Xenopus tropicalis: one gene and its partner. The protein of the gene in region 1 interacts with the protein of each later gene in a biochemical or structural test. Links are inferred from orthologs where the notes say so. Each region holds a gene or a part of one and is shown on either strand. Other genes may lie near its edges. The genes, in order: cgas and rnf185.

The links.
Region 2: of the proteins of cgas (region 1) and rnf185, one has a biochemical effect on the other in vitro, tested with the Homo sapiens proteins (2 studies listed by BioGRID). The link is inferred for Xenopus tropicalis from reciprocal best matches to the Homo sapiens genes CGAS and RNF185.

The regions. Positions count from the first base shown.
Region 1 is NC_030681.2:91,836,834-91,841,109, forward strand, and holds the start of cgas (cyclic GMP-AMP synthase), read left to right. Parts: upstream 1-1,459; 5' UTR 1,460-1,555; coding exon 1,556-2,449; intron 2,450-3,686; coding exon 3,687-3,900; intron 3,901-4,276. UniProt on the Homo sapiens protein: Nucleotidyltransferase that catalyzes the formation of cyclic GMP-AMP (2',3'-cGAMP) from ATP and GTP and plays a key role in innate immunity.
Region 2 is NC_030677.2:151,998,789-152,003,153, forward strand, and holds the start of rnf185 (E3 ubiquitin-protein ligase RNF185), read left to right. Parts: upstream 1-1,339; 5' UTR 1,340-1,420; exon of another isoform or gene 1,421-1,481; intron 1,482-4,365. Other genes in the region: c1h12orf43 (protein CUSTOS), read right to left, coding at 1,190-1,283. UniProt on the Homo sapiens protein: E3 ubiquitin-protein ligase that regulates selective mitochondrial autophagy by mediating 'Lys-63'-linked polyubiquitination of BNIP1.

The DNA of each region.
Region 1 (4,276 bases):
GCTCTAGGAACCCAAACCCTTCCTTCCTACACCAAGACTTTAGCCACGCATTTAGCTCCCTAAGCGCCCGCTGTCTCCCTAAACTTGCACGTGGCACTGGCAAAATTTCTGAAAAAATGACATTGGAGGACCTTTCCTTAATCTTAGAGCCAAGATCCCTGAACTCACTCTTTAAGGTCCCCCACCTACCGTTCATTTTGTCGTTATTACCGATATGTACCAAGACAGCCGGGTCATGCCCAACCCCTCCCAATAATTTGTCAACCCGATCAACCACATGCCGAACCCTGGCACCAGGAAGACAGCAAACTGTTCGGTTGAAGCGATCCGCTCGACAGATTACCCTGTCCAATTTCCTAATGATTGAATCACCTATAACCACCATCTGTTTAGGCCTAGCTCTGCTCTCCTCCCCACCACTACTAGAGAAACTAGTCTCCCGGCTGTTAGAGAGATCAGCCTCATCTAGAACCGCCAGTCCAGAGATCACACTCCCATCTTCTTCACACAATCTGGCAAATCTGTTGGGATGCGCAAAGCCTGGAGCAGCCTCCTTTTTCCTTTTCCCCACACTAGATTGTCTAACTGTCACCCAGCTTACTGCCCTGTCATCCATTTGTTGCTCCCCTTCAATGTTGCTGCCACTCATTCTCCCAGTTACAGGAACAAAAATAGGTGAAAAGACTTGTAGTAAATACTAACTTAGTACCTTGTTTTAAACTCCCTTAGTTTGAAACTCCTGTGTTTATAACTCCACTTATAGAGCCCCCACTAACTCCTGTGTTTATAACTCCAGTTATAGAGCCCCCACTTAAAGAGCAATCACTTACAGAGCACCTACCAACAGAGCAAGCTCCACTGGAGTGCCAGTGGTTCTATTTATACAGTCTGTTATGGTCAACTAATCAAACCCCACCCACCTCAAACTGAGGTTAATTACAAAGGAATGTAACTTCTGGCAAACCTGTTGTAAGCCTTATAGTTCACCAAACTTTGTGAATAAGAACCAAAAACAACAATTACTTTTGAAAAAAATTAAACCCAACAGTTAAAAAACACAAGGATTTTGAATAAAGTTAATAAAGAATACTTATCCCTTTTTTATTGAATTGAAAAGCAAGTTGATTACAATTGCAATGTAATTGGTAGCATACATAGGTAGTTGTAGTAGTTTTGTAGTAGTTTTTGTTTACTTTAGTGAAGGCTTATTTTTGGTATCAGATCACTTGATACACCAGATAACCAGTAGTGTCTGCTGTAGTTTTGTATATTCAGCATGCTTTACTTTAAAAGAGAAAATGTAATATACACCACATATCAAGCTCTGCTTGCAGAAAGCTATTTAACACTTTTTTACTGCACATACAAACTAACCAGTCAGCACAAATGTAATCCCTTCACAGAATATCTAACTTTCATAATTAACAGGAAGTCTGCATAGTTAATTTAGTAGAAATGCTCCAGGCAGACTTTCATTTCTTCATATTGACGTTCCATACTGGGAGGGATCAGCACACAAAGGAAACTGAAATTCGCCAGGTTTTGCCCATTCTAAATGAAAGAAATGGAAGAAAAGTCTCCCAAGTACATAGGAATAAAAAGACAAACCAGCAGCAAAATAAATTCCTGCACTACCGAGGCACCGAATAAGAGTAAAGCCTCTGGGATCACAACTGGAAACTCGACAGCAAGCAGGAAAAACAGTGCAAAAGGAGAGGCTTGCAAAGCTTCTGTGAGCAAAAGCGGAAAAGCTACAGAAGGTACGAGTAGCAATAGGACACCAGACAAGGCTGGGAATGAAACTGCAAAAACAAAATTAAAAGACACAAAAGGCAAAAGCAAAATGAAGGCACCAGACAATGAATCAGCAGTCTCACCCATGAAAGCTACAGAAGGCAAGGAAATGGATGGGGCAAAAGATGAAGCTAGCCAAAAACCTGTGAAAGCAATTACAAAACCTAGTGCTGGCATCAAAAGAAATGGGGCATCAGACAAAGCTGACAAAAAACCTGTGGGCACAGTTGAAAATGCTGCAACATGTATACAAAATAACGGGGCCTTGGATAAGCAGGATAGAACAGGTGAAGGAAATAAGGCATTAGATAAAGCTTACGTAGAACCTGAGATGACAGTTAGAAAACTTTCAACGGATGGAGAAAATAAGGCATTGCAGAAAGCTGATGTAGAACCTTTAATCAAAGGTAAAAAAGCTATAAATATGGCGAATAAAGCTAATGCAGAACCTGGGAGCGAAAATGATGACAAGCTTACTAAACATCTGAACCGTACACTTAAGATGCAGAAATTGAAAATGGATGAGATCTCAAAAGCAGCAGAACAGGTGAAAAAACTGGTTAAAGATTTAGATAAATTCATCAAATCATCTAAAGATCCTGCATTCGAAGGTATGGAGATACTGAACACTGGAAGCTACTATGAAAAAGTTAAGGTAAGGAACTTTTGGTAAACTTGGACATTAGGTTCCAAAATACAATACTACAGCTAAATTTCTGATAATGTAAAATGTATTTTTAGCTAATACATAAGACTTTATTAAGACTGATTAATAGTTTAACAAACCCCATAACTCCTAGAATATACAAAGCATTTTAAGTAATTGTAAATAATGTAGGACAACTCTAGTTAGCAAAAACCAGCAGGTGCTCCAAAAATGTGACAAAACTAGAAAAGAAATGTTTGCTATTGAGAAAATATGTGTGCTATTAAGCAGTGGCGTAACTATTCTAACCCCCGCAAAAAGAATCTATGGAGGCCCCCCCGCAAAACCTCCCCCCACCACTTGTGTATAAATCTCTGCTCCCCGCCCAGTCTCCTACCTGAGAGCCCTCAGCAAGCGGAATTTTATATGCAACAATAAAGGAAGCTAACCCTGTTTCCCTTATTGTTACACCACTACTATCAAGAACAAATGAATTAACAAATTAACGATAAAGTGAAATAGCAAATGGTTTAAAAATATTATATATTATGTATTGAACTTAAATTAATAGATATACTGTGGCGAGAAAAAGAAAAGTGATAGCAAGTTGAGAGATCAATAAAACCAGCCTAGCTTAAATTATTCCCATGTGCAGAATAGGTTGTCACAACTAAGTACTAATATTACAATAGGCTGTACCACAGACATATATCCAACACATTTGTGAGGGGTGCATAAGTACACATGCATTTTGGCAAGAATTGGACACAATTGCAAAAACATTTTTTATTGTCAGGATATCTTTATTTCTCTTGTCTTGGCGCACTGTGTTTATTTACGCAAGCCTCTGTGGGAACCTAGAGCTACCTTTGAGGTGTGGTGGTAGCTCCAAGGTTGCACTTACACACCATTTTCAAATAAACAGTGTGCCTATGCACAAGTGCAATGAGTAGCTTTGGACAATAAATAAATAGCAATTTTTCTTGCACTTGCGAGTGACTTCTTATACAGTATATGTAGCCCTATTTGAAACAGCTTCCCTTGTATCACTAAGGACCCAATCTAGCGGACTAAGTTATGCCCAGGGGACCAAAGGTTGGCAAAACCTTTACCCGTCTATATATATTTTTTTGAAAGTTAATCCTGTTAGGAGCTAATGAGAGCTCAGACCATATAAATGTAAAAGAAACACTGTTTTACGCATATTTTTGCAAAATCTAACAACACGTGCCTTTACATTTTTCAGATCTCAAAGCCAAACGAATTTGACATCATGCTGAAAATACCATGTGGAAGACTTCGCATTTCAGAGTCAGACGCCAGTGGCAGTTTCTACACACTAACAATAAACAGAAATCCAAAGCATCCTTTAACAAACTATGTTGAAAATGGAAAGATTTCTGGCCAACAAATGCTAGATCGATTAAGAGAGCTAATCAAGAGTAAACTCAGCAGATTAGGTATGGTCATTTTCTACTCTAAAAAAATTCATTGTTAAAAGACTAACAAGAAATCCCAGCGTTAGAAAAAAAGCACCCTGAGTTTAGAGATCAGAAAAAATTCTTATCATTTACTGATAATTGTCTCTACGTGCGTTTAAGCAGAGGCAATTCTCATTATTTTCTATGGAAAATTATTTTCTGGAATTTAGTAGCCATGAAAAAGTAGCTGCAACTAGTAGCTCAGTGTGTCTTTACCCTTAGTAGCCATGAAAAGTAGCTGCTTCTAGTAGCTCTGTGTGTCTTTACCCTTAGTAGCCATGAAAAAGTAGCTGCTTCTAGTAGCTCTGTGTGTCTTCACCCTAAAGGACAGAAATAATTAATTAATGCTGGCTTT
Region 2 (4,365 bases), on another chromosome or scaffold:
ACCTTTTCTGCTATTTTGTATTACTAGGCTTTTTTGTACCGGCAAGTATTGCAACCACTGAGTAGAAGGAAGCTGAAAGGTCTGTTTAAAGGAGAAGGAAAGTCAAAACCTATTAAGCACACTATTAGATAGTACTACTATTGCTGTGTAAAATGCTATATTTCTGGCTTGCCTAATGAAAGATTTACAGAGATACACATACTAGAACCTACATACTTGTTTCAGTGAACAGCGCCGCCATCTTGTCCAGCATGTCTGTATGGGCTGAAAAGCACAAGCCAGCCCCCCCTCCGATCCCCGCTTCTGTCACAAACTCCCCCCCCCGCTCCCCACTCCTGCCACAAACTCCCCCCCGCTCCCCACTCCTGCCACAAACCCTCCGCCACTCCCCGCACCTGCATGTCACAGAGTTCTCCGTCACTGCGTCGCCATGGCAACCAGACGCTCCTGCTGTGTGCACATTCGCCGCCTACAGTAACAAGTCGCCAAGTCTGGGAAGGAGCGAGGCATTATGGGAATCTTCTCTACACTACTCAGCGTTTTTTTTACCTGTTTGGCTTCTGATCTTCTGAACAGGTGAAGTATGGGGAGACTTAAGGGCACTATTGAGACAACTGAAGGTATGCCTGCAGCTTGAGATTAACTCTTTATTAGCCTTTCCTTCTCCTTTAAGGATAGTGAATGTAACCATTGCCCCATTTTGAAACACATCCCCAATATTTTGGGGATGTGATTTTGTTGCCTTTTTTTGCACAGCATAATAAATAAGCCCCATAATGGACTCTGTGATGCCAATGTCCACTGCTACCATCTGCTTATAATCTAATTTTTGGTGCCAGTATCCATGCCTCTTAGTACATATAATGCTGTTTTGCCGTGCCAGTATTACATACAAAGATACGGTCAATACATTACATTCTAATGCAAATTCGCAATTCTCCTGGCATCTACAGTCCCTTTATATCCTGGTTCCTATTTAGTGGAAGTTGGGAAACTGGACCACTGGACATCTGAAAATGTTAGAGTAATAGATCAACTTGGAGAACCAAAGAGAGCCGCATAATGTAACAATATTTTGCCTGAAAAGCAGCAAGAGAAGATGAGAACCCCCCAATCTCCACATTTCTGCACTAATCCTATTAATGTTATATCCTTCTCATTGATGACATGCTTCTCTTCATTTCCATACCTGGTGGTACCCAGGCAGCTTCACGGAAACGTTCGAGATCCTCATTACTACTATCAGAGTCACTATCCTGCGTGCCTCCTATGGGGGCTGCCATCTTGCTTGTGGTCACGTGACTAACACGCCGAAAAGTCTATGTGAATTCCGCTTCCTGTTCGAAAAGCAGGATGTGACGTTTGAGAGGTGGAAGTGACTGAGATTAGTTGGACTGCTCTACAGTCGGTGATACCGGAGGTAGGACGACTTACATTTAGTTGGCGATAGCAACAACTCAGCTGGAGACTGCTTGCAAATGGTATAATAGTTATCCCGAGTTCTGGTGGCACGTAAAAACACCTACAGTCGTGCCGCTCAGTGTGTGTCTGCGCCCCGCCAGCTGTGCCGTTCCCAACATCCTGATTGGTTATAAATTGTATGGTGAATCAGAGTAATTTAGCACCTTTACGCACAGATACCTGCCCTACGTGTCAGTGTTGTGTTAGCCTCATAAAACGACTGGTTTATTTGCTAAACATCCGCTGTGATTCCTCTACATTCATTAACCAAACGTAGGAGTGCCACACATAGTGCTGTCACAGCATTTGTACCCAGTGTCAGGTGCTAATTTGGTCCAGTGATGGCGGACGTGCGCCTCTGTGCAGCCCATTGCTGAAGTAAAGCTCTAGACAGCAGCAGTCTCCGACTTGGACGTATGGTGCTTGCTATGCAAGTGTAAAGTACTACAGGTTTTATTCATTCTTATTTGCAGCACCGCTTGCACTCACCACTTTGGGAATGATGAATGAATACAGTAGAACCCGCATTAACGTTTTTCTTTGCACCAGGCAAATGTATAATCAGAGACATGCATTATGCCAAGCATATCGGTCGGGCCACAACATTTTTTTAAATATCGGGGTATGTAAAATTAAGGTTTCACTGTAAATGCATCTTGAAAACTCTTACTGTTCTTGGAACCCCATTTATTTTTTATGGATTTTACTATGAATTTTTATTTTACATAAAGGATAACTTATTGTATCTGTTATATATATATATATATATATATATATATATATACAATACTCCATGAGTTATGCGCACTCTGGAGTGCGCATAACTCATGGAGTATTGTATACATGGAACAACCAGATGCAGCACCCATTGAGACTACCAGACACGTGAACAAGGAGGGAGTGCGGACCAATTGTGAATTATATATATATATATATATATATATATATATATATACATTTTTTTTTTCTTAGTACTGTGGAGTTGGTTTCCATGGGTCCATTAAAGCTGGCCATACACGCACCAATACTATCGTACGAAACCTCGTTTCGTACGATATTTGATGCGTGTATGGCATGTCGGCGAGTCGACCGATATCGCAGGAAGCTGCTGATATCGGACGACTCACAGATCGGCCAGGTTAGAAAATTTTGATCGGGCGCCATAGAAGGCGCCTGACCAAAATCTGCCGTCAGGGCTGAATCGGCAGAAGGAGGTAGAAATCCTATTGTTTCTACCTCCTTATCTGCTGTTTCAGCCCTGACTGTGTGTGGCGGATCTGACGATGTTTCGTGCTTAACCCTCTGTGTACAAAAATAAACAATCCTCCCATTTATCCCATGTTTAGGGCACACTTGAATTTGATGATCTGTGAACATATTCCTGCACATTCTTTTAGGGTGAGCCCCGACGGCCCAGACCCGACCCTTGCCGGCGCTCCCCCGGCTGACCGTTCCTCCCAACACGCTAAACTTCCGCGCACTCAGGGGAGGACATCGGGTGAGGGGCTTAGGAAGGCTCTGCAGGGGGAGGTGTTAGGGGGTGCGAGGCACGTGGCTGGCGGGGGCACCTGCAGGGCCCCTGGGGCAGGAACCCAAGGGGCCCTGCATCCCCCCAGTCCAACCCTGGCGACTAGTAGCAGCTACTTTTTCAAGGCTACTAAACTCCAGAAAATACCCTGCCATAGACAATACCGAGAATTGCCTCTGCTAAAGCAGATATAGAGACAATGATCAGTAAATGATCAGCATTGTCTTTTTTTAGTAGCCACAACAAGTAGCTGCTACTATTAGCCCCATGTGTCTTCACCCTTAAGGGAAGTGGCAGACATTGCCCCACGACAAATCTTCGTTACCGCAGGCGACTAATCCCCCCACAATGCCATCCCACTGGCAAGAATGTAAATTGCAGCTTCGATGGCATACGTGTTGCTACGATTTCCCGAAGTTGGCAAAAGTTCCTTTAAAGGCGGCTTTGGGAAATCGTAGCAACACATATGCCATCCCACCGGCGATTTCCATTGCGGTAATGAAGATTTGTTGCGGGGCGATTAATCTCCCCATCTGCCACTGCCCTAAGGGTGAAGACAGAGCTACTAGTAGCAGCTACTTGTCACAGCTACAAAAATAGACAATACTGATCATTTACTGATAATTGTCTCTGTGTGTTTTAGCAGGGGCAATTTTCAGTATTGTCTATGGCAGGGTATTTTTCTGGCATTTAGCAGCCATGACAAGTAGCCGCTACTAAGTAGCTCTGTGTGTCTTCACCCTAAAACATTATTAGAGCATCTCTGGATATGTCACCATATTGTTTAAGCCATGTCGCTGCTGAGAGTGAGGGTATGTTAAGTCACTTGCTCATGTCAGCGTAGACACTTGGTAATCACTTTATACTCTTAAGTAGATTATATTTGTTTATGCTTCTAGTATAATTAAGTTACTTTTATGTTTATCTGTTCATATCAAGCACAGCTCTCTGGCCTTTTGTTTTTCTACGTAGTTGCTTTCCCCTGCCTGTATGGCTACAGTTGGCAACTAGTACAATTATTTTTATATATATATATATATATATATATATATATATATATATATATAAACACTCTTTAACCCTGTGGAAAAATACAAAAATAGTTGATGTTTTCATATCCCTACTATAAACTTTCTGTAGGTGTATTTTTAAAGTGCGTAAAAAGAATATGTTGGTGCTTTTTAAATGTGTGTTATAATAATGTTTTTGTATGCTGTGCGGTGCATAGTGTTTTTGGTAAGGCTTTTATGTGCATGGTTTGAGCAATTTCTTACAACTGATGTAATGGTTGTTGCAAAGGCAGTGTTCATAATTCAGATTTCCCATGTTCGTCATTTAGCTTTGTTTGTATCATTCAAACTTGTGTACATCTATAT